Elephas maximus indicus: one gene and its partners. The protein of the gene in region 1 purifies or fractionates together with the protein of each later gene. This does not show direct contact. Links are inferred from orthologs where the notes say so. Each region holds a gene or a part of one and is shown in the gene's direction. Other genes may lie near its edges.

Region 1 (7,149 bases):
TTACATGTAGAAATCCTTGAACTGGTATGTGTTCTGCTGTGTATATTCTCAACCACAACAAAAAATAAACTATAAAAAAAAGTATTACTTATCTCGATTACGCAGTTTTTTGATGCCTGCTTAAATTTCACGACTGAGGCAAACGCCTCAACCACCCCAAGCTCTTCCCAGCCTTGAGCATAAATACCAGGATAATTGCGGCCATTTCGGAAGCTCCCACCATAGCATCCTCTTATTTTTATCATATTTGTGTCTTTACATTTGAAGTGTGTTTCTTGAGGGTAGCGTCGAGATGGATCTTGTTTTACCACAAGTGGATGGCTTTAACAAACAAACGTATTTCCTGACATTTTGGAAGCTAGAAGTCTGAATTCAGGGTGTGGTTCTGGGGGAAGGCTTTATCTCTCTGTCGGCTGTGGAGGAAAGTCCTTGTCTCTTCTGAGCTTCTGCTCCTGGGCAGTCTTCATGTTGCTCAGCATTTCTCTTCTCCCATCTCTGCTTGCTTCTGTAATTTGCTCTTCTTATATCTTGTAAGATATTGACTCAAGACACACCCTACACTAATCCTTTCTCATTAACGTAACAAAGACAACCCATTCCCAAATGGGATTATACCCACAGGCACACAGGTTAGGATTTACAACACTTGTTTTGGGGACACAATTCAATCCCTAACATTAACTATAACTCTTTGCTTTCTTATTTTGGGGGTTGCTTTAGAGTTTATAGTTTACATCTTTAAGTTATTGGCTACGCACAGGCATTCAGTTGTGTGCACCGTGACTGATTACAGATAACCCTGGGAAGAATGGGAATTTCAAAGCGCTTAATTGTGCTCATGAGGAACCTGCATAGACCAAGGGGCAGTCGTTCAAACAGAACAAGGAGATACTGCGTGGTTTACAGTCAGGAAAGGTGTGCGTCAGGGTTGTATTCTTTCACTTATTCAGTCTGTATGCTGAGCAAATCATTCGAGAAGCTGGACTACATGAAGAAGAATGGGGTATCGGAATTGGAGGAAGACTCACTAATAACCTGGGATATGCAGATGACACAACCTTGGTTGTTGAAAAGAGGACTCGAAGCACTTACTGATGAAGATCAGAGACCACAGCCTTCGGTATCGATTACGCCGCAACACAAATCAAAAATTCTCACAACGGCACCAATAAGCAACATCATGATAAATGGAGAAAAGATTGAGGTTGTTAAGGATTTCATTTTACTTGGATCCACAATCAACAACCACAGAAGCAGCAGTCAGGAAATCAAGCGATGTATTGCGTTGGGCAAACTGCTGCTGCAAAAGAGGTCTCTACGGTGTCACTGTGAGGACTAAGGTGCACCTGACCCAAGCCATGATATTTTCAACCACCTGATTTGAATGCAAAAGCTGGACAATGATTAAGGAAGACCGAAGAAGGATTGATGCCTTTGCGTTATGGTGTTGGTGAAGAATATTGAATACACCATGGACTGCCAGAAGAACGAACAAGTCTGTCTTGGAAGAAGTACAGCCAGAGTGCGCCTTGGAAGCGAGAATGGCAAGGCTTTTTCTCACGTACTTTGGACATGTTACCAGGAGAGACCAGTCCCTGGAGAAGGACATCATGTTTGGTAAAGTAGAGGGTCATCGGAAAAGAGGAAGACCCTCAAGGAGATGGAGTGACACAGTGGCTGCAACAATGGGCTCAAGGGTCACTATGAGTCAGAACCTACTGGAGGGCACCTAACAACAACAACAACTGATAACTAAGACACTGGTCAAGCTGGTGGGCCACTGGTCAGGGCACTTGAGCCACTTGGCAAGGACAGGAGGTGGTTGGTTCCTCCGGGAAAGCCACAGTGTGCCAGGACCACAAGGTGGCCGCTTCCATCGCGTAGCCCTTTCCCCGTGAGGCCAGGTGTCCTGAGCATAGGCTCCACTGTGGGCCCAGCCGCCTTCTTTGGGCCTCCCAGCTGGCTGCCACACATGTCCATCCAATTGATCTCAGAGAATGCCAGGCATGTGACTCTCCCACCGGAACCCCTAATCGCTCCCACTACAGGTCAGAATCGAAGGCAGCCCCACCCTGGCCTTCTGCCAGGTCCGGATGTCACCTATCTGCCCCAACCACTGCTTCTAGCCCTCTTCCCCTCACTCCCTCTACTCCAGACCACTGACCTAATTTCTGTCCCTCTCCCTCCGCCCCCATGTTCTGCATGGTTGGCTCATTCCAACTGCAGGCCCCATACTGGTGCCCCCTTAAGCCTCCACCAAGCACCTGGGGATTCCCTGCTATCCCCCCCCCCCCACCAGCACTGACAAGGTCAGTGAAGGGGACAGCTGTCTCTGGCACCAGGGCCTCTGGTCCTTGAGGGAAGGGGTCCTGGCTGCCCGTCTGTCCACAGCCAGTGCTGGCACATGGCCTGGCACACAGCAGGCCCCCACTAAACATGTGATACATGGCTGGAGAGGAGAGAGGAGCTGGCCAAAGACAACCTGCTTGGGGCATAGTGGGCCCGGGGCAGTAGGCACAGTGCTGTCACTCCCTTTCCTGAGGGGAGGGAGGGTCAATGTCTCCTATGCTTCCTTCCTCAGAGGCCTCGGGAGGGCCTTCTGCTAAGGACGAAGCCCACCTCTTTGACAGGAAATGTCCCCTGGGGACCACGGGAAGCTGATGGAAGATAAGGGTGCCCAGGCCTTCTAGATGGGTTTCCTTACACTTGAGGCCTGTTCTGTCTCCTTTAAATGAAAAAAATCCTAGTAAGCCCTGGTGAAGGTTTAGATACTTTTAGTACAGTATCACTTAGCTATGCACAAACATAAAAGTATGACCTCTTTGTCCTGGTAGCTCTTATATAAGCACGAAGCCAAAACAAATTCGTTTTTTACCAAGAGAACTGGAAAGGTCTTAGGACGGCAAGCAACAAGAGAGAGCGGCTCTGTGGAGGGATGCGGCAGCCACTGGGCATCCCTGGCTATTTAAACTTACAATTAAATGCAATTTAAAATTCAGTTCCTCGGTTGCACTCGCCACGTTTCAAGTGCTCAGGAGTCACATATCCTGGGTTACCGCAGATACGGAACACCACCATCATCCGGAAAGTTCTACGGGCAGCGCTGTGATGGATGGTGTTCGGTGAAATGAACCGACTGCCGGCGCGCGTGGCAGGGGGAGGCACAGTGAGGTCTGCTTCTCCAGGCCTGGCCCCACTGCCCTCACCACGGGTTTCCTGGTGTAGACCCGTGAGAACTTCATCTGGTGTCACCTACCGCGCGCGCGACCTGGGGAGGAAGCATCCCTGGCTCCCTGAGTCATCCCTCCATTTCTGCAATAGCCCAAAGCAAGAAGCAGGGGTTGGCCCCGCGCCTCCAGGGACGCAGCGGGAAGTGCGGGGCTGGCACCCCTGAGGGGTATCCATACCACCCAGGATGGACATGAACCTCAAAACACTTGGGGGTTCTCCCACAGGTCGCTCGGGCCTCCTAGATACGTGAGTAACCTTTCAAAGAAAGACTCCCCTAACAGCTGTCTGCAACTCCACTTTGTAAGGGGCAAACGCGTGGCAGCCTAAAAGTGTGGCGTTTTGGCCCTTCCGGCCGGCGACCCACTGACTCGGGCCTCACCGCCCACCCCGGGTCCGGCCCCGAAAGCGATTGTGAACTAAGAGCGCTGCGCTCTGTGCATAGTCGCCATCACCTCCTTCTCGGAGCCTTCCTCGATTGTCCAAGGCGCCAGGATGGGAAGGGTCCTCCCCAGGCCCCCGGCTGCGCTCTTCGGCGGACGTTGCATGCCTGTCCTCAGGCGCAGCCTGGCAGCGGTCCCCCGGGGCTCGGAGGGAACAACGGCTCGGCGGCGCCTATCCGCCGCACCGAGGTCTGAAACCCCGAGGTCTGCGTGCAAGGGACGGGGGAGTGGCCGGGGACGCGACCCAGCGTGCGCTCCCGCCCCGCCGCCCTTCCAGGGGCGCCCAGGCAGACAGCACCGCGCAGGCCCCGGGGCACGCAGCGCGGCGGGGCGGGGATCGGGCTCCGGCGGCGGGGCGCGGGGGGGCGAGGCCTGGCGGAGGGGCCCGGAGCTGGACCCGCGGGGGCGGGGCTGGGGCGGGGCCACGGTGTCCTATAAGCGGCGCGGCGCGGGGCGCGCGCCCGGCCAGAGAGCGAGCGAGCGCGCAGCGGCGGCGGAGACGACCCCAGCGCGCACCCGGCCAGGCTTCCCAACGCCCCCGAGCCCCCAGGCCCCGTGCCTCCGCGCCTAGTGCGCCCCGCGCCCCGACCCGCGCCCCGCGCCCCGCGCCCGCCAGGCCCTCGCCGACCGCCCAGCCCCCGCCGCACCGCCGTCAGCGCCCGCAGGCCGCCAGCCGCGCCGCCATGGGGGTGGAGGGCTGCACCAAGTGCATCAAGTACCTGCTCTTCGTCTTCAATTTCGTCTTCTGGGTGAGCGGCTAGGGGCCGGGGCGCAGGAGGTTGGGGCGCGGGGGGCCGGGGCGCGGTGGGCCGGGGACCGGGGTGCGCGCCAACCCCGCAGGCCCGGGAGCCTCGGTAGGCCTGGCCAAAGGGCGCAGCCCGCGGGGCCGCCGCTGCGGGCCGCCAAGTTGCAGACACCTGTCGGCGTCGGGGCGGGTGGGGGCCCGGGGTCGGTAGGCCGCGGCGAGGGGGTCGCTCGGGGCCACTGCGCCCCCTAACGGCGGGCCGGGCCGAGGGCCGGGTTTCAGGGCGCCAGCCTTTGGGCGTCCGGGACTCAAAGCCCCAGGGCTTGGGGGCCGCTGTGCTGGCGACCTGGGCGGTTGGAGCCGGCAACCCATAGGGGAGGGGTCCGGGCCGTCTTCACCCGGGGACGGCCCCGCTCGGGGCGGGAGCCGGGGCCACCCTGCCGCGCCGGACGGAAGGGGGGTTCGGGGGCGGGGCTCCTGGCGCTCCGCCCCATGAGCTCATCGGGCCGCCGCCTCTAAATGGGTGGTGGGGAGGGAGCGCTTGCTGGGTAGGAGCCCTGGGGGCCGGCATCGCGCTCCGCCCCTAGCCCAGTCCATCCTCCTCTCCGCAGTCCCCCTCCTAAGTCTCGGGTCGGCCCCGGCAGAGGGCTGACCGGAAGCGCACTGGCCCGGGCATGCCCGTGTGTAGGGGGCCCGCACCGTCTTGGCCCAGCTCTAGGGCGCCGACCCCGCGCACCCCAGCCCCCACCACACACTTGGATTCCAGGGGCTGGGAAGCTTTGAGAGGCGTGGGCCTGGCCATAAGAGTTGGCACAGGGCAGGGGGTATCCGAAAGACCTGGCGGCTCCAAGCTCGGGGCTTGATCCCCGGCGTCGGTGCCGAGTGCTGGCTGGGATCTCCACTTCGGGAAGGGTGGCCCCCATGGTCACTGGACTGCAGCCCCGGTGTGGAGGGTCTCCCGGGTCCTCTCCCTGCCCCAGAGCAGCCTTCTCCTGATCTTCGTGGTAACTGCTGGGGAGTGACCGGTTGTGTCTTTTTCTTTGTTTCCATTTCTGGCCAGTCTTGGAATTGGGGAGGAGGTGGAGATTCCTTGCTGGACTGGAAGGTCTGTGGGTGCGTGCCAGGAGCTCCATTCTACCCTCGGACATTCTCCTTGGCAGTGACACCTCTCTGGTACCCTTTCTAGCTGCTTTGCCGTCCCAGTCTGACCCACCCTTATGGCGGGACAGTGTCCCGGGTGAACTGTGATTCTCAAGCTCAGGCAGTGACCAAAGGAAACCAAACCCAGTGCCGTCAAGGTGATTCTGACTCATAGCCACCCTATAGGACAGAGTAGAACTGCCTCATAGAGTTTCCAAGGAGGACCTGGTGGATTCAAGCTGCTGAGCTTTTGGTTAGCAGCTGTAGCACTTAACCACTGCGCCACCAGGCAGGGGCAGTAAAGTTGTAAAACGGCCCCTGGAGCAGACTGGGCTGAGACATCGGCTTCCCGTCTGTCTGGCTGGCTGGCGTGGGTTTGCTTCAGGGAGGTATTTGGGAGGGGCGCAGGGGAGGGCAGAGGCTGGACTCACTCCCAGCTGGGAGTGAGGGTCACATCCAGCCTGCTGGGGCCGGGAGCTGACCTCGGGAGGGTACCCTGGGGTTCCTGGAGCCCAGGGCCTCTCCCCAGGGCGGGGAGCAGTGAGGCTGCTTGTGCTTACCCTGCCCAGGACGGCCCCAGGAGCCTTGTAGGAACCAGCAGTGGTCCAGGGTAGTGGGCGATGGGTAAACTGAGGCCCTTATGCCCCTCAGCTGGCCCCTGTGTGAGCCGGACTATGACCCTGGTAGGGAAGGAAAGGGTAGGCAGAGGAGGGGGCTTCTCAGAAGTGGGTTTTTGTTCCTGGGGAGTCTGAGGGGAGTGGGCCAGGCTGGGCATCACCCTGGATAAGCCCCTCTGTGGCTGATCCCCAGACAGGCCTGCCCCAGGATCGTGGCCTGGGTGAGTGTGGTGGTTTCCCAGGCAGCGGGTGCCCTTCTTTCTTTGTTGTGACTCAAGGAGACTTTCCAAGGCTCCTAGCTGCTCCACTCCCTCAGAGCATTGAGAGCTGTGTCGGCCCACAGTCACCCCCCCACCCTGCCAACACCACCCTGAGTGCCCTGCACCCCGCCCCCCCGAGTCCTCTGCATCAAAGCCAAGGGTGGGCTCCTCAGAGTCAGCCTGGGCGGGGTCTGTTCCTCGGCTGCCTCACCCTCTAGAGTGAGGTCCCAGGGACCCCCACCGGGGTTTGTTGGGGGATTAACTAATATGATAAGTGCTGAGCGAGGGGCTTGGAACGGAGCGGGCTTGGGAGACGGGTCTGGGCATGGTGGCCCGGCAGGGACTATGGCAAGGGAGAGCCTTCCCATCAGTCTAGGAAGCGCCCTGCAGGTGAGTGGTTCTGACTGCCTAGTGGGTCAGCGTTCCGGGAGCACTAGGGTCGTGGGGGGCCAGGAAAAGCGGCTGAGGTCCTTTTCCAGAGAAGTTCCCACACGGGGGGAGGCAGATAAAGGACTGGCATGCTTCTCCTTTGCTGCTGCAGAAAGACCTGCCCGCCTGCACCCCACATCTGTTACATCCCACCAGCCTGCACCCCTGTATCCATGTGCTGTCAACTGCCTGCACCACACATCCGTGCTTTCCCACCCACCTGCACCCCTGTATCCACGCGCTGTCAACTGCCTGCACCCCACGTCCGTGCTTTCCCACCCACTTGC
Region 2 (6,909 bases), on another chromosome or scaffold:
TCATGGTCCCCAAACCTTCTGTTGGCCCAGGACAGGAACCGTTGCCAAAGACAATTCATCAGACATGGATTGGATTGGACAATGGTTTGGAGAGAGATGCTGATGAGGAGTGAGCTATTTGTATCAGGTGGACACTTGTGACTATGTTGGCATCTCCTGTCTAAAGGGAAGATGGGAGGGTACAGGGGGTTAGAAACTGGCAAAAACGGTCACAAAAGGAGAGACTGGAAGGAGGGAGCGGGCTGACTCATTGGGGGGAGAGTAAGTGGGAGTATATAGTAAGGTGTATATAAGTTTATATGTGACAGACTGACTTGATTTGTAAACTTTCACTTAAAGCACAATAAAAATTATTTTTAAAAATTAGTGTAAGAAATCAAATGTGAAAGTCTTCAATTACCTGAAAAATGGCTTGATGAACTCGAAGCATAGAAAATTTCATTGTCTGAAAGGTTCCTGTAAGATAATATTCTTGAATCTAATTTAGTACCTGAAACTAGGAAACCGAACACTAGCCATTTTTTTTCCTCCTATCTTTTTAATTTTCTCAAGTGAAAAAACTCCTACTTCTAAGCTTCAAAACAGATAGGACTTTTTCTTAAAATTGTACTTCAGATGAAGGTTCACAGAACAAACTAGCTTCTCATTAAACAATTAGTCCACATATTGTTTAGTTACATTGGTTGTCAACACCATGACATGTCAACATTTCTCCCCTCCTCGACCTTGGGTTCCCTATTACTGGCTTTCCTGTCCCCTCCTGCCTTCTAGTCCTTGCCCCTGGGCTGGTGTACCCCTTTAGTCTCCTTTTATTTTGTGGGCCTATCTAATCTTTGGCTGAAGGGTGAACTTCAGGAGTGACTTCAGTACTGAGCTAAAAGGGTGTCTGGGGGCCACACTCTCTGGGTTTCCGCGGTCTTTGCTAGACCAGTAAGTCTGGTCTTTTTTTTTGTGTGTGTGTGTGAGTTAGAATTTTGTTCAACATTTTTCTCCATCTCTGTCTGGGACCCTCCACTGTGATCCCTGTTAGAGCAGTGGGTGGTGGTAGGCAGGCACCATCTAGTAGTGCTAGACTCAGTCTGGTAGAGGCTGTAGTATTTGTGATCCATTAGTCATCTGGGCTAATCTTTCACCTGAGTCTTTGGTTTCCTTCATTCTCCCTTGCTCCAGATGGGGTGAGACCAGCAGAGCCAGATGGGACATTTTTAGTATTTATTGTTGCAGAGAATAATAAACAGATTTTCTGCTTTCACAAATAAGTGCAATATTGAGTCACAGAATGTTTCTGTCATATCACTTTCACAACTGTAAGCATTAACAGAAATGACATTTCCCCATCATTAAGTTTCCTATTCACTGTTTCCTTATTTTAAGTTTACTTCCTTTAAGTATCATCATGGAACGTCAGCATTTTAAAATCCAAGATAGTAAGGTGTTTACTTTGCATACCACCTCTACACTAAGTGTTTTCTATGCTTTGTCAAGAATTCACAAAATTTTCACAGGAAAAGGAAATTCTATGGGTTGGTGAACCCAGAAAATCTTCAGTGCATCTCAGATACAGAGTTATGTTAAATATATATAAACTGTAGTAATTACAGAAGGACCATTCGAGCTTCCTAGAGGGCCTTCATTTCCTCACCATCCTCTCATACCTTATCCCTGTGTAACACAGGTTCCATCCTCATCATTCTGTTAACAAAATATCACTGGGTACATGGGTTAGAGTTTTAAAACTAACCTTTGACCAAATGTAACATAGGATCAATGCGGAAAACTTATAAAACTGAAAGCACAAAGAAAACAAAATATCCATAAGCCTATCAACTACTGTTAATTTTGGTATGTTTCCAACTAGTCTCCTTTTAAGCACATTAATATGGTGCTTTTGTTTTAATAAAATGAACGTCATGATGTACATACTGATATATCAGAGTGATCTTTTACAACACTTGCTACATAGGATTTCATCACATAAAAGTACCTACCATAAATTCTTCAATGGTCTTACTAGACCCTCAGCACTTACATTTTTTCCAAAATTACAAATCTTTGCTCACAGCGCTGATGTTTTGGGATAAGCTAAGTGCTACAGCTGCTAACCAAAGGGTCGGCAGTTCGAATCCGCCAGACTCTCCTTGGAAACTCTATGGGGCGCTTCTACTCTGTCCTATAGGGTCACTATGAGTTGGAATTGACTCGACGGCACTAGGTAAGTGAGACTGTGGTTTAAAAGTCATGTCCATTTTAAGACCTTTAACGTACTGCTAACCTGACCTCCAAAGTTTTGTTTTTCCACTAAAAGTTAGGGAGTGATGCCCCTCCTTGCCCAACACTGGCTGATGTTTTTATACTCTTTTGACCGCTTTTAAAATACCAGTCAGGTTACTTTTATTTATTTACGTTGTCACACAGGCTTACTCGCAGCTCTACTGATAAATCTTACTCATTCTTAATTTTTAGGGGTTGTTGGAGAGATTCTCTCACCAGAAAAGTTCTCCTCCTGATCCACTCCATTTAACCCATCCCATCTCCTAAGGCATTCATTGCTTCTAGGAATTTGGCACTTAAAACACCCTGTCTTTACATTTTTTATGAGTGTACATTTCACCTTCAATAAAACATTCAGCTGCTCAAGAGCAAGAGCTACACAGAATTGAGGTGCAATATGCTAATCGTCCTGTTTCTAAACAATTCACCTTCCCATGGGGTCTCTGAAGGAAGTCCAGGAAGAGCAATTTCCACTCAGGGTTGGGAGTGCAGTGGCCAAACCCTCTTTGTGATTTTGAAAACCAGCAGGTGTTGAGAGGGTTTAGCAGAAGGCACTTCTTAAGCAAGTACGATCCTTAATCATGCCTGATTCATGCCAAATATTGGGTAAAGACGCAAGTAGTCCAGACCACCCGGAGTGCCCCAGGACAATGGGGCTCTGAGGGGTGCTGGTTCCACAGTGTCATGGATTGAATTATGTCCCCTCAAAAACGTGTATATCGACTTGGTTAGGGCCATGATTCCCAGTATTGTGTGATTATTCTCCATTTTGTGATTGTAATTTTATGTTAGAGAGGATTAGGGTGGGATTGTAACACCCTTACCAGGTCACATCCCTGAGCCAATGTAAAGGGAGTTTTCATGGGGTGTGGCCTGCACCACCTTTTATCTCTCAAGAGGTGAAAAGAAAGGGAAGCAAGCAGAGTTGGGGACCTCATACCACCAAAAAAGCAGCACGGAGAGCACAGGGCATCCCTTGGACCTGAGGTTCCCCCTGCTAAGAAGCTCCCAGAGAAGACCCATGACAAGGACCTTCCTCTGGAGCCCAGAGAGAGAGGAATCCTTCCCCAGTAGCCAGCGCCCTGAATTCGGACATGTAGCCTACTGGACTGTGAGAGAATAAACTTCTCTGTTAAAGTCATCCACTTGTGGTATTTCTGTTATAGCAGCACTAGATGACTGAGATACACAGTGACCCACTTCCTGCACCCTTGGTGTCCATTTTTAGCCCAGTGCCTTTTATTCTTCAATGCCCAGTTCCCAGTAAAGGAACAAGTTTCCCGTCCGCCCTTCCTGGGCAGGGCGGTAACCCGGTTCACCCAGCTGTAACGCTGAAGAGCGGATGTAGCAAGAGCAGTCACGCCCCATTCCAGGGGAGCTGGCGGCCACTTTCAAAACCCCTTGGGTTAGTCAGGCCACACCCATCTATTCCGGCCCCTTAGGCGGCCGCCTTCTGCCTGCAAGCCTGGGCACCGAGGCCCCGCCTTCCAGCGCGCCGATTGGCCCCGCCCTCCAGCGCGCCGATTGGCCCCGCCCTCCAGGGCGCCGATTGGCCCCGCCTTCCAGGGCGCCGATTGGCCTCACCTGGCTCCTGTACTACAAGTCACTTCCGCCCGGGGCGTGGTCCGGGCCACGCCCACCTGCTGTTGGGTACTTGTTACTTCGTGAGGCTGAGGATTGTTGCGTCTGATAGCCAGGCTCTGGGGGGTTTCTCTGCCCCGAAGGCTCTCGGGTTTCCGCCGGATCACCGGGAAAATGACAGTGTCTGCCGCGCCGCCCACGGCCCCTGCTTGCCGCCGCGAGAGTCCCTTTACTTCCTGGTGCTCCTTGGGAGCGGTTTTGATGTCTGTAGTGTTCCACCTGCTAATTAAACACACCGGTAAGACCCCGGCGAGGGTGCGCGCGCAGTCCGGAAGGCTGCTGGGCGGGCGAGGAGGCCCGCGCTCGGCTGACCTGGGTCGTGTATCTTATGGTGTAGGGCATGGCAAGGTTCGCCGGGGTCGCGCTGCGCCGGGATTTGGGGGGACCATGAGTTGCATGGCTTGGTTGCAGTACGGAACTGGGCGGTGCGGAGGTGGTGGCCGCCGCAGGTGTTTTTACAGCGGCTGTGCCGTGTTTACGGTGATTTAAATGAACCTTTCTTAGCTGTGGAAACCCTGGTTGCCTAGTGGTTAGGTGCTACGGTTGCTAACCAAAAGGTCCGCAGTTCGAATCCACCGGGCGCTCCTTGGAAACTCTGTGGGGCAGTTCTGCTCTGTCCTGTAGGGTCGCTATGAGTCGGAATCGACTGGACAGCAGTGGGTTTGGTTTTGGGGGGTTTCCTTAGCTGTGCTGTGAGTGCTGGCGGAGAGGCACAGCCGCCGTTGGCTGGAGCCGTGCTGTGCCGCCAGCAAGGGCCAGGGCGGTGTTTCTGGGACTGAGGCTCACCCGGAAGGGGAGCAGATGGCGTGCTTCGGTGAGGGCTTGGTATGAGGTGACTTGGGGTCTCGAGTGTTGCCAAGGTCTCTGCAGTATCCGCGTTGAAGGCTGGGGTGGCGGAGCCCAGGTACGCTTTTGGCGCAGAGTGTACTTTGCGGACGTTGAGGGGGCCCTACTTGGCGGTACCGAGTGTGGAGCCAGGAAACGCTCGTTTTGCTTTGTATGAATGAGTTCGAGCTGTGGGGTTGGGGAGGGTACATTGTGCTTGTTGTGCTTGCGGTCGGAGCAGGCACTAGATGCCAAGGTTTAGGGGGATGGAAAGGGAACTTAGCTTTTTAAACCTTCTGGAAACAGGCTCCTTGCCGGTGACCGTGTTGGTCCACGGCAGAGGAGCGCTCTTCTTTGGCAGATTGCTGCTTGCTCTTCCCCCACCCCCCCGCCCCGAGCCATCTTTCTGCTCCTAAAAAAAAAAAAACCCAATATAAAAAAAAAAAAATTTTTTTTTAAAGCAGTTTCTAATTCTATTACCTAACGGCTTTTGGGCATTGTTTTCCTTCTTTTCATTAGATTGTGCCATATTTGAGGGCATATTTGCAAGCCGTGGTACCTTGGTAGCCAAACCTAGTAAGAAATTAGTGTCCTAAGAAAGAAATGTTAATGTGGCCCCTACAGTTCATAAACTAAAGCAGAGGGTCTATCCCACTAAGCTTGTTTCATATTTTATTGAATGGGATAAGTACTTAAAAAATGGTAAAAAAAAAAAAAAATACGTGTGTGTGTGTTTCTATCGTATGCAACTTGCACAAAGGTCAGCTATTTTTTAATATTTTGGTGTGTTCCTTCTAGTCTGTGCACCTGTGTCTCTATGCCCAGGTTATCTTTAGGATCCGGTTACATGTAGAAGTCTGTAGTAGTGCAAACGGTTAACTGCTCTAGGCTGCTAACTGAAAGGTTGGAGGTTCAAGGTACCGCTCCACTCTCTCCACCCTTATTTGTTTTGTCCACTGTTATAGCCCCAGTGCCAGGCACATAGTGGGCAATCACTAAATATTAGTAGAATTTAAAGGGTGATAGACATTATCCGGAGCCCTGGTAGCGCAGCAGCTGAGAGCTACGGCTGCAAACCAAAAGGTCGGCAGTTTGAATCCACGAGGCACTCCGTGGAAACCCTGTGGGGCAGTTCTGCTCTGTCCTGTAGGGTCACTGTAGGGTCGCTATGAGTCAGAATCAGCTGGATGGCAACGGGTGTGGTTTTTTTTTTTTTGGTAGATATTATCCATAACATCATGCTAACGAATATATTATAAACTAAAAGAAATGCTATGGAAGAAAGGAGCACGATTCTCTATTGCATTTAACAAATGACTGGAAGCAGATTTTCTCCTCAGCACATGGGCCAAGCTCTGCAGCTTTAGGGTGTCTGCACTTGCTGTTCCCTGTGCCTTGGCACACTCTCCCGCCTCTCCAAATAATTAGCTCCTTCTTATCCTGCCAGCTAGCAGGGGTGTTCCCCCTTCAGAGAGGCCTTTTCTGACCACCCTCTCTGAGGTAGACAGACATTCGTCTACCTGCTAACTTTTGATCATCCTGCCAAAACTATCTTTTATGTTCTCTGTCTCTCCCCACAAGATAGACATCTTGTCTTGTCAGACTTAAGGTGCTAAAGGCCCAAATTTTGGTGCAAATAGTTAAGTGCATGACTGCTAACCAAAAGGTTAGTGGTTCAAACCCATGCAGAGGCACCTCGGAAGAAAGGCCTGGCAATCCGCTTCCAAAAGGTTACAGCCTTGAAAACCCTATGGGGCACAGTTCTACTCTGCACACATATGAGGTCACCATGAGGTGGGGTCATCTCCATGGCAACTGGTTTGGTTTTTTTGATTTGTAGCTGTTAAGTACCAGCAAATATATTTGACAGGGGCTTAGAGCCCAGGAAGAAGTTAATTCTTCCTGCTCTCCAGGAGGAAAGTTCTTTAAAGAGCCATGTTTAGGATGGCCTTTCTGTGGTGTGTAAGTAGTACGGCAGGGGCGGCTTAGGGTCAGAAAGTATCTGTCTTCCCTGTTTACGTAGACTTTCCAGAGCTCACAGAACTTCAGTCTCCCTTCTCACTGATCATTAAAAAGTTCATTTTGGTTGGGGGTTCCTTTTCTTCACCATTAAAAAGCAGTGGTGATGAGAAGAAAACAAGGAATTTTTTGAAAAAAAGAATAGTATTTAGA
Region 3 (7,588 bases), on another chromosome or scaffold:
TCTTTATAGCTCTTCTCACTTCCTTCTGAGCTCTCACCAGAACCGCCTTTGATATCCATAATTCTACCAATAGTCTCTTCAAGGCAATCTAGGCATTTACTATTAGGAACTTTAAACTTCCAGCCCCCACCCATTACCCAATTTCAAAACCGCTTCCACATTTTAGGTATGTGTTAGAGCAGCACCCCACTCTTGGCACCAAATTTTGTCTTAGTTATCTAGTGCTGTTATAACAGAAATACCACAAGTGGGTGGCTTTAACAAATAGAAATTTATTTTCTCACAGTTAAGAGGTCAGAAGTCCCAATTCATGGTGCTGGTTCTATGTTGGCTCTGGAGGAAGGTCCCTGTCTCTTCTGAACTTCTGCTCCTGGGCAATCTTCATGTGGCTTGTCATGTATCTTCACCCATATCTGCCACCTTAATCTACTCCTTTTATATTTTGTAAGAGATCAACTCAAGACACGCCCTATACTAATTCTTTCCTGTTAACATTACAAAGTCAATCTATTCCCAAATGGGATTATAACTACAGCCATAAAAGTTAGAATTCACAACACATAATTTTTGGGGAACATAATTCAATCCCAACACCCTCCCTGGACACTTTTATTTATTCTTACTACTTCAATTAATGCCAATTGCCAATGAGTTGATTCTGACTCATGGTGACCCCATATGTGTCCAGGAGAACTGCGCCCCATAGGTTTTATGTGTATGCGTGTGCACTTTAGGTGAAAGTTTACAGTTCAAATTAATTTCTCATACAAAAATTTATACATATATTGTTTTGTGACATTAGTTGCAAACCCCGCAATGTGACAGCATACTTCCCTTTCTACCCTGGGTTCACTGTGTCCATTTGACCAGTTCCTGTCCCTTCCTGCCTTCTCATCCTGCCTCTGGACAGGAGCTGCCCATTTGGTCTCGTGTATCTGATTGAACTAAGAAGCACATTCCTCACATGTATTATTTTTTGTTTTGCAGACTTGTCTAATGTTTTCCTGAAGAGTGGGCTTTTGGGAATAGTTTCAGTTCTGGGTTAACAGCGCATCCGGTGGCCATAGTTGTAGGGGTTCCTCCAGTCTCTGTCAGACCATTAAGCTGGCTTTTTTTTTATGTGAATTTGAGTTTTGCTCCACACTTCTCTCCCACTCCATCCAGGACTCTCGGTTGTGTTCCCTGTCAGGGCAGCCTTTGGTGGTAGCCAGTTCTTCTGGTCAGGGGCTGACAAAGTCTCTAGTTCATGTGGTCCTTTAGTCTCTGGGCTAATGTTTTCCTTGTGTCTTTGGTTGCTCCATAGGGTTTTCAATGGCTGATTTTTTGGAAGTAGATAGCCAGGATTTTCTTCTGAAGCACGTAAGGGTAGACTGGTCCCTCCAACCTTTTGGTTAGCAGCCAAGCATGTTAACTGTTTGCACAACCCAGGGACTCCCATTTCAACTATTAACTGCTGTTATTTCACGATTGTGAAACACACAATTAATTTTATAAAACTTGGAGGAGGAGGAAAAAGTCTGTCATATGAAATATATGCATCCACTGTAAGCTCCCACCACCCGTCTGTCAGTTGGTTGTACTGTGGTGGCTTGTGTGTTGTTGCTATGATGCTGGCAGCTATGCCACTGGTATTTCAAATACTATCAGGGTCACCCATGGTGGGCAGCTTTCAGTGGAGTTTCCAGGCTAAGACAGAGTAGAAAGGAAGGCCTGGCAATCAATCTCCTATAATTACCAATGAAAACCCTATGGCTCACAACAGAATATTATCTGATATAGTGCTGGAAGATGAGCCCACTAGGCTGAAAGGCAACAGTGAACTCGAGCATGCTGGCGATTATGAGGATGATGCGGGACCAGGCAGCACTTACTTCTGTTGTACGTGGGTTCACCATGAGTCAGAGCTGACTCCATGGCAACTAAGAACAACATTGCAAGCTCATCCCTCTACCTCACAGCAAAGACGTACTGATCTTTGAGGACTCATTTCAAAGTCATCCCCTCTTTGAAAGTTCTTCTGACAACCTTTCCCAGGACCGATCACTCCCTTGTGTCTCTGCTCTACCTTGTACATTCTATCACACTAAGTCATGATGCCCTTCTTTATTTACACATCTCCCCTCAGATTGTAAGCACATTAGTCATCTCTGCATCCCTAGGGTCTAGCCCAATGCCTGGCATTAATTCACTCTGTTAAAATTTGTTGGAGACCTACTGTGTGTCAGGCACATTCCCAGAGTTGCACTTGTTTGTTAAACAAGAATTTTAGCAAACATCTACTCTGCAGTAACAAGGTGAGAGTCTGACAGTCTCCAGGCCCTTCCGTTATTAGACAGAGATGGGAGTAGTGTGCAAACCCTGGTGGCTTAGTGGTTACGAGCTAGGGCTGCTAACCAAAAGGTAGGCAGTTTGAATCCGAAAGGTGCTCCTTGGAAACTCTATGGGGCAGTTCTACTCTGTCCTATAGTGTCACTATGAGTCGGAATCGACTCGACGGCAACGGATTAGGTTAGGTTAGGGAAACCCAAAAAGGGAGTAGTAGATTATATGCGGTGCTGCACTGAATGCAACCAAGTGCCAAAATGTGTGGCTCAGACATTGAGCACTGAGTGGTTAAGAACAGGAATGAGCCGGCACTTGAACTTCGGGAGGACCAGGTCTTACCCTTCTCTGTAGCTTCAGCATCTTCCAAGACCTAGCATTAGGTAGGTTTGAATCAATTAAATTTCAAAACTTTCCAGAAAAATTCTGGGAAAAGCTTGGGATAGAAAGGGGAAAGAAATTACAGGGTGGGGGGACAGCTTCAGCAAAGGTTCGGTAGCAGGAATGAGTTTCTAGGAGCTTCTTTCAGGAGGGTTCATACCCAGCTAACCCTGTACTTGTTAATGGCAATAACGATGCATCAGAATAAAAGCAGTGCCCTCCTCCCCCAAACTGGGCAGTTTTCCCATTAACATCTGTGCTTGGATTTGCATATATTAATGAAAGGCTGTGGGGGTGGGAGGGGGCATGGGTATAACTCCCTGTAAGTTTGAATCATCCTTGTGAAGTTTTAAACAATGCACATTAACTAATTTCCCAGTACTCTGGGGCTGTTTGTATTCAAATCAAAAGCACAAAACCCTACTGTAGGAGAAAAAGAAGTCTCTATTGGCAACCAACTTTGTCCATTTAAAGAAATAAATGTAAAGTCTTAAGAGTGCATTCCATATGAAGTACTGTGGCTATTAATATACTTGGGGTTTTGAAAAAAACGAGTGTATTTGTGGGAAGCTGCTCTAATGAGTGCCATAACTGTCCTGGAGAGGGAGGGAAGTAGGCAGCAAGGGCAGCAAGGCTCATCCAGACACAGGGTAGTGGTGAGTCGGTTCTGGTCTCGCCACTTTGCTGTGAATCCTTGTCTCCTAACCACTTTAGGCTTCTGTGCTTCCTTCTAAAATAAAGGGGGTTGGAATCCATGGCCATTAAACTCCTTTCAGCTCTTTCAAGATCCTTTTTTTTTTTTTTTAGTTTTTATTGTACTTCAAGTGAAAGTTTACAGGTCAAGTCAGACTCTAGTACAAAAATTTATAAACACCTTGCTCCAAACCAACCCAGTGCCCTCAGGTCAATTCCGACTCATAGCGACCCTATAAGGATGTGGTAGAACTGCCCCGTAGAGTTTCCAAGGAGCGCCTGGCGGATTCGAACTGCCGACCCTTTGGTTAGCAGCGTAGCACTTAACCACTATTAACACCTTGCTATACACTCCTAATTGCTCTCCCCCTAATGAGACAGCACACTCCTTCCCTCCACTCTCTCTTTTCTTGTCCATTCTGCCACCTTCTGACCCCCTCTGCCCTCTCATCTCCCCTCCAGACAGGAGATGCCGACACAGTCTCATGTGTCTAATTGATCCGCGATGCTCACTCTTCACCAGTATCATTGTCTATCCCATAGTCCAGCCCAATCCCTGTCTGAAGAGTTAGCTTTAGGAATGATTCCTGTCTTGGGCTAACATAATCTCTGGGGTCAGTCTAGTCTCAGTCAGACCATAAAGTCTGGTCTTTTTACGAAATCTGGGGTCTGCATCCCACTGCTCTCCTGCTCCCTCAGGGGTTCTTTGTTGTGTTCCCTGTCAGGGCAGTCATCGGTGGTGTCAGGATCCTTTCTGAAAATTCTCAGTAAGGGCCATGTGGCTGGATAGTGGGGTGCTTAGCTTGGACGAGAGGGTTAGCCGGGTGAGGAGTTAGCCTAAGGGCTTTGTAGACTTCCGTGGCTTACTCCAGTGTGGTGCAACGACGGGGTGTCCCGGGATAGGGCAAAAGGGATGAGATTCCCAGACAAGTCTTGCCATGGCCAACTTTTAAAGGTCGGAGGAAAGTTTATCGTGGAGTGGGGACCCTGAGGGGAGAGCTGGGTGGGATCCGACGCTTCCTCCCCTTTAAGCTGGTGGCCCCGGAGCTTCCTCCGTTACCTGGAGCGGGGAGGGGCTTGGGAAAGTTTGTGTTTGTTGCTGGCAAAGCGCCGGATGGGAGGCGCGGGCGGGCGGGCGCTGCGGTTCTTCCCTTCTGCTTTCGGGAAGCGGTCGGGGCTGCACATTCGGATCGGCGGGGCCGGCTCGGGTGCCGCGATCCCGGTCCCCAGGCGGCCCGGGGAGAGAAGGAAGGAGGAGGGAGGGAGGGAGCGGAGAAAGGGGCGCACGTACGCCCCAGCGCTGGGATTTATCGGCTCGAGAGGCGAGCGGAGCAGGCGCGCGGCCCAGGCGGAGGAGCGCTGACTCTGGAGCAGTCGGAGCTGGAGGAGGACGAGGAGGAGAGGCGGCGGGGAAGGCGGAGGAGGGGGAGAGTAGCTCCCGCCCGGCGAGCATGGGGCGCCTGCCGCCGAGGCCGCTGCTGCTGGCGCTCCTGGCACTGGGTGAGTGCGCGCGGGGATCCGCGTGGCGCCGGGGGCTTGCCGGGCCCCGGGGGGAGGGGATCGGTGGGGCGCGGCTGCCACGCGCGGCCTGGGCCGCCGGGGGTCCCTGGGCCGCTCCCGGGAGGCCCGGCCGGCTTGCGGCGGGCGGGCGGCCGGGGGGTGGGGGCGGCAGCGGCCGCGGGGCTGCCCGGAGCCAAGCGCAGATCCGCCCGGCCCCGCGCTCGGTGGGCAGGTCGCCGCGCCTCCAGGCCGAGCCTCTCCCCGACATGTGCCGGGGTGGGGAGTGGCCGGTGGCTGGCTTCCCCCCCGGCCCTCCCTACCTGTTGGCCGCCGGGAGCCCGGCTCACCTTGAACTCCCGGCCCGGAAGGTGCCTGCGATCCGGCCCGCGTCCGCAGCTGAAGGGCGGAAATATGAATCTTTGATATGCCCCGCCATAGCCGCCACGGACAGAATTGCTCTTCACACAAACCCACGCCGAGGTGTCTTTCTAGAGAAGAGAGAGAATCCACCAACTTCTTTCTCCAAAGGTCACAGGGCCCCAGAGTGTTACAATAAAAAGCGGGGTGCGAGTCTTTCCATCGTTTTAGTGATGACTAAATCTGCTTCAGTCATTTCTTCTTAGCTTTTCTTGAAGCAGCATATTTATACACAAAGACCTAAGAGCCTTTCCCAACTTTTTTTTACCTGTTACTTTCCCTTTCTCTCTGTCCCTTGTCTTCCACCTTCCCGGAAACCCTTGGTGCCTCTTGACCATTTGGCCTAGCGCCCTGTCACCAACCCAAGGGATCTTTCATGGTTCCCCCCCCCCCATTTTACACTCCATACACACAAAAACCTCTTCATAATAGATACACATGGTTATCTTAACCTGCCACAGACATACATGCATTTATTAAGTGCCCACTATTTTTTTTTTTTTTTATGAGGGCTGGTCCTTAACTGCTTGGATAATCCTGGATCCTTTTGGTCAATGAATCCTCCGAAGTGACCACAGGTTCTCTTCCAATCTCTAGGGGAGACAGATCTGAATCTTTCACAGACTGCATGGAGTATGGCGGCCGCCCCAGCCAGGCCCCAGCTGCACATAGGGTAAATGTTCTGCACTTATGGCCAGAGGGTCCCAGTGGAGGCCTCTCACAGCCACTCCCCTCCTGCTGGCACCAGGGCCCACGTGTCCCAATCCCTGTGACCCCTGCCTGTCTAGCTGCTGCTGTGTTTTCTTCCTTCACCTCTGAGGGGATTTTTCAAGCTGACTCCCTAGGAGAGCTCATCTAGCCCCACTGCTTCAGCTGCAACCTGTGTGCAGAAAGCTCCCACATCTCTCGCTTAATTTTGTGACATGTCTGTGGTCTCTGATCCTAGTGCTTTTAGCCTTTCCCTTTCACCACGGACACATGTATATTCTCAGCATGGTGCACATGGATTCCACACCCACCCATTTGGTTTCCGTGTCTAGGTCAAGTAGGCCATGGCCCGTGGTTGTGAGATTGTGCACTGCACAACTCTAGGAGCTGCCATTCATTCCATGGTTTATGTGACAACTCCCCCTAGAGCTGGGCAGTTTACAGCCTGTGCATTAGCTAAGAGGGTGGGGGGAGGTAGAAGTTTGAAAAGAATGCCCCTGAGTAACTGTGGGAAGGAAGAAAAAGGGAGAAGAGGCAAAGAGGGGTCGGCAAAAACAAAGTAAAAGTGGGGAAGGCACAGCTTGGGATGTCTTGGTTGTACACAGTGAATTCCGCCCTGGCTGTGTGTCTCATGTTAGCTGCACAGAGAGAATTTCTGTGATGTCACCAGCCAACACCTTTTCCCCTAACAGTTCTCTGAACTTGATGTTCCACACAATAACTGCCCCACAGGAGCTCACTCGGTGTGCCCGGTGTGCCTGCAGCCTGACCTCTGGGAAAGACTCCCTGTTTTACACCACTCTAGCACTGTACTGATTCCTGAAACTTAATATGAGGATAAGCAATATCATCTTTCCTCCTGTATTGCAACCTGAGCGGAATCTTGGTATCACTGTTCTCTTTGGCCTTCACGGTCACATAGTCCCTCAGTACTATGGGTTTTCCTACCGGACAGACTCGACGTGCCCTCTTGTCTTCCTGTTGCTGCAGTTACTGTCCTAGCCCAGATCCTGACAGATCCTGACACAGATAACTTCTGTTATCTTCCTGCTTGGCTTTTTCCTCCAGCCGTTTTTCTAAGTTCATCATTGTCCTTTAGGATCATGTTTGGGGAATCCCACCTTTGCTCATTGGTTCCTTATGTTTTTCTTCCAAGGAAGTGTTGCCCCCCATGTTCTCCCCCTGGTCTTCCCTCTCGCTGAGAAACTTCATCCTAGGTTACCTTTTTCTGTCCTTTACACAGGACATATTTGAACCTTCTAGCTTTCCCCTTTCTTTTAATCTTGGAATGGGCCCTCCTGCTTTTCTCCTTTTGGCTCTGTATTTCCTTTTTTTCCCTGCAATTCATGTCCTCCATGAGTCTTTCCTAACCACTTCCACTACCACAGTCATGCCAGAACCTGCTCAGCTTCATAGAGCAGGTTTTAACTTCTGTTGCCTGTGTCTGACCTGCCTTGTCATTCATTCAATACAGTATTTCTTGAGTGCCCAAAACACACATTAGAGCATGTTTGGCATCTTACTGAGTGGACAGAGGGAAGGGTGGACAGATAACAAAATGGCTAAC
Region 4 (7,386 bases), on another chromosome or scaffold:
GTTTGTCTTTGAACTGAACTGAAAGTTCTTGAAGCAGGGATCTTTGTTTTTCCAGATCTGGCACAAAACCTGACAAAGTAGACTGAGGAAGAACTTCCAGAGAGATGGGGGGCCGGGGAGGGAGGGACGGGTAGAACCTAAGGGAATAGAGTATGTGAAGAAAGAATGATGAATAGTATTAAATGTCTTGTGTAAATCCTGTGGGTGGATGTATTCCAAGTATATTGTAGGCAGTCAAGAAACTTTTGAAGAAGGGAGTAAATGCAGAGCTTGAGATAAAGCCTGGAAAGTGTTCATTTGCAAGAACAGGTTCACATGCATGGTAGAGATTGGACACCAATTATAGATGGTGAAGGAGTGAGTAGGAGGTTAGGAAGTGGAGACAACCAATGTAGGCAACTATTTCCAGACCTTTGGTTATAAAGAGGAGAGGAAAGACAGGACTAGGACAATAGCAGGAAAGGCGTCTCTCCCTCTTGCCCCTCAAGATGAGCTGTTGTTGAGAAGCGCCATTTGTGGGAACTCCTTAGGGCATAGTTTCTCAGCGTAGGAACTGCCAGGAGTGCTAGAAGTGCAGGACTCCAGGCCGCACCTGCAGGGATTGTGATTTTTTAGGTCTGAGGTGGGCTTCCTTCCCGGGTAAATCTGATGCAGTTATTCCTTAGACCACACTTCCAGAAGTGCCTCCTTAGGCGCTTTCGAAATAAGGAGGCTGTTACCGCCTGCTTCTTCTTCCACTTCCTCACGCAGGTGCAGGAGGAATATTCAGTATCTTCGCAGATTACCAGGATCCGTTAGGGGAGGCTGTTTTGTCGTCTTAGTCATTTCTTTTTTACCATCCGGCTGTCTGCTGCTTGCTTCCCTCATGGCCACTTCTGTGGTGTCCTCCAAGCCTCATTGTCCCATGGTTCTTCTTTGTTCCTAATTACCGTCTTCTGTGGCTTCTCCATTTCCCTGAGAGAAAGTCCGGCCTTTTATAGACAACACCAGCCAGTGACAATGCCTCTCTGTTTCTGGCCAGTGAGCTGACCAAAGTAGAGAGTTGAACTCTTAAGCTGTTCCCAGCTGTTTTCCATGTTACTCTCAGCTGTTCTTCACCGCGAAGGCCTTTTCTTGCTGCTTCTGGGTTTGGAGCTCTTCCAGAGGCATGAGCATTTCACAGAGCCCATCTTCAACTTGCCAAAGCTTATAGAAGGAAAAGGGCAATGGCATTTAAAGCAACGTTTTAAAGCTAGATAGCTTCAGAGTATTTGAAAACTTTATTTTAGTGGTAATTCTCTAAATTGTATGACATTGTGAAGGGTTTTTTAAGGCAGGTTAGTTTCATTAAAGTAGCCTGAATAGTATCCTAAAGAAGCATGCATCAGCCCATACATGGAGCAGATGTTTGTTCTGTTCACTTTGTGTGGAAGCTGTTCAGATGCTGCATTCATCACGGTGATGCCTTTCCTCAGCGTTCCATGTCTTTTTAGTCCTTTCAGTCAGAGCTTTGGAATTGAAAACATCTGAATTGCCTAGAATTATAGTCCACATGGATTTATTGCATCTTAAACCTTTTAGGCAGGCCTTAAAAGGTTAATAGCTAGGTATTTCTCACTTTTGTGACACTCAGCTTTTGTTGGTCTCTTGGATGGAGTCACCACTGAAATGTAAGCAAAATTGTCAGCTTGTGGCTTAACAGGACTGGCTGATCTGCTCAGGATTGCAAAGTGGATGACTATGCGAGTCATTCTTGTGCCCTGGAAACCAGCATTTAACAGAGGAAAGCAAGTACCCCAGGGGTGCCCTGAAGCACAACTTAAAGGACTGTGGCTGTGGAACTAGCATCCTGGTATTTGTGCCCCTGAGATGGAGGCCTTTAAAAGAAATACTCATTTTTTAAATTAAGGTAGAATTCAGTTAACTTCTTCTTGCTAAGGGAAGTTTACCAAGAAAAAAAGAGTACCACACAGGCCATAATTATTTACATTGAGAAAGCAAAGAGAAGAAAAAAAGAAAATTAAAAACAAGAAAAACACTTTGCGTATACATTTTATGTATATAGGAAACTCTGGTGGCACAGTGGTTAAGAGTTTGACTGCTAACCAGAAGGTCCACAGTTTGAATCAACCATCCGCTCCTTGGAAACTATATGGGGCAGCTCTACTCTGTCCTATAGGGTTGCTGTGAGTTGGTATTGACTGGATGGCAGTGGGTTTGGTTTTTTTTTTATAATTCTTTGTCATTCTCAGGTCTCCGTGGTTGCAGTATATGTTTGTATACTTTTGTTTTTACATAGCTGTCATCATAATGTGTACTTTACATCCAGAATTATTATTTTAATGATGCTGCGTTTTATTACTTTTATGATTGCCTAATAGTTCATCAGGCTGATACACTTAGCTGTTCCCCTGTTACTGGGTATAGGATGTTTCCATTTCTTCCTGTTGTAAATATACCATATAGTACTACATTGAACATTCGTGTGTCTGTGGGTGTATGTGTATATCTCCTTTTGTATTTTTATAAATCGTATTTTATTGTGTTTTTGTGAAGGTTTACACAGCAGTTTGGGTTCCCATCCAACAATTTCTACACATGTTGTTCAGTGACATTGGTTACATTCTTCACAGTGCGTGAACATTCTCATTATATTTCCATTCTGGTGGTTCTGTTTCCATTAGTCTAGTTTCCCTGCCCTTTTACACTCTCATCTTTGTTTTAAAGTAGTTGTTGACCGTTTGGTCTCATACAGGTGAGTTTTTTAAAGGAGCATATTACTTACGGGTGATATTCACTATTTTTTGAGCCAATCTGTTACTTAGCTACAAGGTGACCTCAGAGGTTAGTTTCGGTTCAGGGTTTGAAGAGTATCTCTGGGCAGTAGTCTCAAGGAGTCCTCCAGTCTCGACCAGTCTAAAAAGCCTGTTTTTTGTTTTTTAATTATCTTTTGTATTTTAAATTATTTCCTCAGTAGCTGGATTGCTAAGTCATGGGGTAGAAACATTTTTTATAGTTTTTGATATAGGTTGTTGAATTATTTCCCCCCAAATTATATGTTTACAAAGCTGCCAGCCATGCATATTGATTTTTCTCAGCCTTCTCTGCAGTGATGGTTTTAATGGGTAAAAAAAACATTTTTTCCAGCAGTTTATCTTTTATTGCTTTGTTTTATATTTCTTTGGTAACTAGTAAAGCTAAAATTTTACCCTTTGCTATCCCACACATACACATACACATATACCTATATATATATATATGTGCTTCTTTCTTGTATTTTTTTCTTGTGGGAGGGACAGATATTTATGACAAATTCTCAGGCTGGCTGCTAGTCCCAGTGCAGTAGTCAGATGATAGCCACAGTTTCAGCAACCAGGGGCTAGAGCCGTCTCTGACCAAATCTCCTAAAGCATAGCTTATTGACATTGTGAACTCTTGAATTCACAGAAAAGAGTTGTGTACGTAATGGTTGGGCATTCTGCTTGATAGAATATTCTGATTATTACTATTATAGATTACACCATTTTCAAATATTCAGAATCAAATATAAATCACTAAATCAAAACTATATAGACTTATTAATTTTTCTTTAGAGATTCTGAAAGGGACTCGATACATTCAGGGTCCTTTTATGAACTTTTCGTGGGTCTAGTTTGTGGATCTAGAAAATGTAGGGACTTGAACCGAATCTTTGACTAATTAATTCCATGCACAGAAGTTGATTTTTCTTAAAGAAAGCCATCAAATTCAAAAATTGAGTCAGGGCCTTGTGTAGGATGTTGGTCTTAACGCTGCTGAACGCTATACGTTGTACCATATATATGACCCATATATACACACACACACACATATATGTGTACCTATGTATGTGTGTGTATATGTGTGTATATATGTATAGTGTAGTGCACACTATAAACACTGATAAACCCCGTTGTTACAAGCAGGAGGATGACATGATGGAGTTTTTGAAAAGTTCACTCAAGCTGGCACTCAGCCTTGGAGCGACTGAGGAGTCTGGATATGCCTGTCTGGCTCCCTGGGAGCTGCAGGAGATAATAGAGATTATCTGGGACGAGACCTTGGATGGCGTTTATGGTGTTAGGGAATACTTGACACTATTATTCTTTCGGAGTGTGGCTAATAAAATGTTAAAACATATTTGACTGGAGAGAGGCAGGAACGGAGCCCAGAGACTTATGGAAGTTATTTTAGTTGTGTAGGTAACAGGTAGGGTAGTGGGCTGGGCGGGGGAGGTGGGTGATGAGGTTGTGGAGGGGTGCTGGAGAAGAAGGTATTGAGAGAGATTATATTTATAAAATCAACAGGCAGGGTGGCTGGGAACATTTTGTATTTAATGTATCTTGTTTTATTAATGATGTGCATTTTGTATTTCAGATGAATTTACAACTGATTTTCTGGATTGGACTGATTAGCTCAATTTGCTATGTGTTTAGCCAAACAGGTAAAAAAAAAAAAAAATGTTTCATAGCTGTGTTTTCAGTATCCTGTCTCATTCTTTGACCAAGTATATTCCAGGGAAAACCTAGGTCAGATCATGCTGCTCCTTCTGAAAGCCCTACACTGGCCCCATCGCACTCAGAGTAAAACGCAGAGTCCTTAAAATGGCATACAAGGTCCTGCACGGCCTGGCTCCGCCAGCAACTGCTGCCACCCGGTCTCTCACCTTATTTCTCATTCTCTCCTGGGCTTTTCTTATTTTCTCCTGGGCTTTCCTTGCTTTCGCTCAGAGGCACCAGGCATCCTTTTGCTTAGAGCCTTGGCCTTGGGTGTCTCTTCAGCCTGAAGCGGTGATCTCTCAGATATCTGTATGATTCTGTCCCTCCTTCAGCTCATGACTCAAATGTTAGCTTCTCAATCAGGCCTTCCCTGGCGATCGTATTTATAGTCGATTGCCCCTCCCCATACTTCCCTTTCCCTGCTTTGTTTTTTCTCCTTACCATTTATCTCTTTCTAACATGCAGTGTGTCTTATTTATCTTGTTTATTTGTCTGTCTCCCCTGCTAGACTGTAAGCTCCACGAGGGTAGAGACTTCTGTTAGTTTTCTTTACTGCTGTATCCTCAGTGCTTGGAATAATGTCTGGCACATAAAAAGGCTTCAAATAAATATGTGTTGAGTGAAAGAAGGATTCTACCAGTGTCCCCAGACAGTGATCATCACCCCTTTAAAGTTGCTCTGACCCACCCATTCTGGGGAGTAGGTCTGGATCAGCTTGGTAACTAGGCTTGTAGGCTTCATACTCGATAATCATATATGGTGCATTGTTTGTCCTTGCGATCCTGATTTTTCATTATTTTCTCTCTTGAAGCTTCAAGTAAAGGTGTCTGTTATTTCTTTTCCTGACAGATGAAAATAGATGTTTAAAAGCAAATGCAAAATCATGTGGAGAATGTATACAAGCAGGGCCAAATTGTGGATGGTGTACAAATTTAGTAAGTAAGATTGTTTGAGTCTTTACTATGTTTTCTCTAGTAATTTAGTACGTCCTTGGGACGTAGCAGATAGGAATTTTCATTTAAAACAATCTTTAATGAATAAGTGTTATCTGTGTGTAAAGTATAAGGCTCTGGTGGTACAGTGATTAAGCCCTTAGCTGCTGAGAAGTTGGTGGTTCAAACCTACCAGCTACTCTGCAGGAGAAAGATGTGGTAGGCGGCTTCCGTAAAGATGACAGCTTTGGAAGCCCTGTGGGCAGTTCTTCTGTGTCCTATAGGGTCACCATGAGTCGGGGTCAACTCGACAGCAATGGGTTTTTTTAACGTGTGAAAGACTGTGGTGGTCTAGAGCTGTGTGTTGAGCCTGGCAGCCACCAGTCACATGTGTCTAGTGAGCACTTGAAGTGTGGATGGTCTACACTAAGAATGTTGTAAGGCTCAAATACATACCAGATTTCGAAGACTTAGTATAAAAATGCTCACTAAATTTTGTTAAGGTGATTACGTGTTGAAATGATAATACTTTAGATCCATTATTAAAGTGAATTTCCCTTGTTTCTTTTTAGTGTGACTACTAGAAAATTTTACATTAACTTCTGTGGCTTGTCCATTTGGTTGGCATTATATTTTTATTGGACTGCTTCCCGTAAAACACTAGGCCTTTAGGTTTAGACTGCTATAGATTTTTCTCCTTTTTTGAGGGGGGAAGGTACAAATGAACTTGCACAATTATATTTGATGTAAACTAACACAGAATTGATTGTATCCTAATATAAACTCAGTGACGGTAGGGTTTGAATTTTATTCACTGTTATTCTCTAAATAACTAAGCCTTTGATGCTTTGAGGCATAATTTTTAAATTATTGAATGCTATTTTGGAGTATGTTTAGTGGAATTTTATTTAGGTGTTGATTATAATCTTAAAGTTTCCTGTATTGGCACATATTTGGGAATGTGTAATTTACTAGTTTCCTTTGGTGTAGTATCTTAGGTTTGATGATAGCGTGGGTTTGAACCATCTGGCCCTTGGTTTTCCTTTCCATTTATTTCTCTAATTTCATATGTGCTCTTATCAGTGTTTGTTTCCCTTAAAAAAAAAATTTTTTTTTAATTTAAATATACTTACTTTATACAGCACTGTGAAACTGGTAGGTAATAAACACCATGTTTGACTGAACACAATGTGATCCCAAATAAATGGCAATCCTCCATTTCCCCCAAGTCAACATTAGAAAAAGTTTTTGGCCTACTAAATAAATAATTTTTAGGGATATATGTGACATAGTTGTCAAATGTCTACTTATAATAATTTATTGATAATACTTTTATGATTTATATTTACATATTTTAAAATGACATACATGTATACACACATAAATACTAATGTCATTTTTTTCCCACTCTCGAATTTCATGATAACGTTTTATTTAAAACCTTTACGTATGTCTTTTACATCTGTGCTTTTGTTTTCATGAAGGTACTTTTTGAGTCATCTGATAACGTTTTTGCTTTTATCTCAGTTTGAAGTAGAGCACGTTTTGAATTCCTGTCATTACTGAAATTCTGCCTCCAAGCCATAAGTATCCATTCACTTGTATACCATTAAGACTTTTTTTTTTTTAAAATCACCCTGTGGAAATATGTTCACGACCCTTGCCTTATAATTATTTGGCTCTATTGCTTTTCAAAATAAATCTTAAAATGCTTGTTTATGGTAATAGGCAATGCTATTCCAGGAGAATACTTACTGAAATAAAATCTGTATTACATTTTTTGGTTTCCTTTTAAAAATACCATCATTAGTAATGTGCTTTCAGGCTAAAGTGTTTTCCGTACACATTGGCTTGTTCATAATATTGTAAATAAAGAGTGCAATATGAGAGACTTTATAAGGATTTTTCAAAGGGACATTTTGGGAAAAATATTAATATTTGGGCATATAATTAGTGGC

Evidence for each region.
Region 2: the proteins of CD81 (region 1) and CD46 purify together in Homo sapiens (co-immunoprecipitation; 3 studies listed by BioGRID and IntAct, with this or other methods). This does not show direct contact. The link is inferred for Elephas maximus indicus from reciprocal best matches to the Homo sapiens genes CD81 and CD46.
Region 3: the proteins of CD81 (region 1) and PTGFRN purify together in Homo sapiens (co-immunoprecipitation; 7 studies listed by BioGRID and IntAct, with this or other methods). This does not show direct contact. The link is inferred for Elephas maximus indicus from reciprocal best matches to the Homo sapiens genes CD81 and PTGFRN.
Region 4: the proteins of CD81 (region 1) and ITGB1 purify together in Homo sapiens (affinity purification with western blotting; 4 studies listed by BioGRID and IntAct, with this or other methods). This does not show direct contact. The link is inferred for Elephas maximus indicus from reciprocal best matches to the Homo sapiens genes CD81 and ITGB1.

Annotation. Positions count from the first base shown.
Region 1 is NC_064825.1:135,506,733-135,513,881, reverse strand, and holds the start of CD81 (CD81 antigen), read left to right. Parts: upstream 1-4,130; 5' UTR 4,131-4,354; coding exon 4,355-4,420; intron 4,421-4,995; exon of another isoform or gene 4,996-6,700; coding exon of another isoform or gene 6,701-7,149. Other genes in the region: uncharacterized protein LOC126081186, read left to right, coding at 6,701-7,149. UniProt on the Homo sapiens protein: Structural component of specialized membrane microdomains known as tetraspanin-enriched microdomains (TERMs), which act as platforms for receptor clustering and signaling.
Region 2 is NC_064836.1:17,663,027-17,669,935, forward strand, and holds the start of CD46 (membrane cofactor protein), read left to right. Parts: upstream 1-3,890; 5' UTR 3,891-4,026; coding exon 4,027-4,150; intron 4,151-6,909. UniProt on the Homo sapiens protein: Acts as a cofactor for complement factor I, a serine protease which protects autologous cells against complement-mediated injury by cleaving C3b and C4b deposited on host tissue.
Region 3 is NC_064821.1:163,065,921-163,073,508, reverse strand, and holds the start of PTGFRN (prostaglandin F2 receptor negative regulator), read left to right. Parts: upstream 1-4,572; 5' UTR 4,573-4,847; coding exon 4,848-4,896; intron 4,897-7,588. UniProt on the Homo sapiens protein: Inhibits the binding of prostaglandin F2-alpha (PGF2-alpha) to its specific FP receptor, by decreasing the receptor number rather than the affinity constant. Functional coupling with the prostaglandin F2-alpha receptor seems to occur.
Region 4 is NC_064822.1:6,452,879-6,460,264, reverse strand, and holds the start of ITGB1 (integrin beta-1), read left to right. Parts: upstream 1-4,374; coding exon 4,375-4,441; intron 4,442-5,345; coding exon 5,346-5,431; intron 5,432-7,386.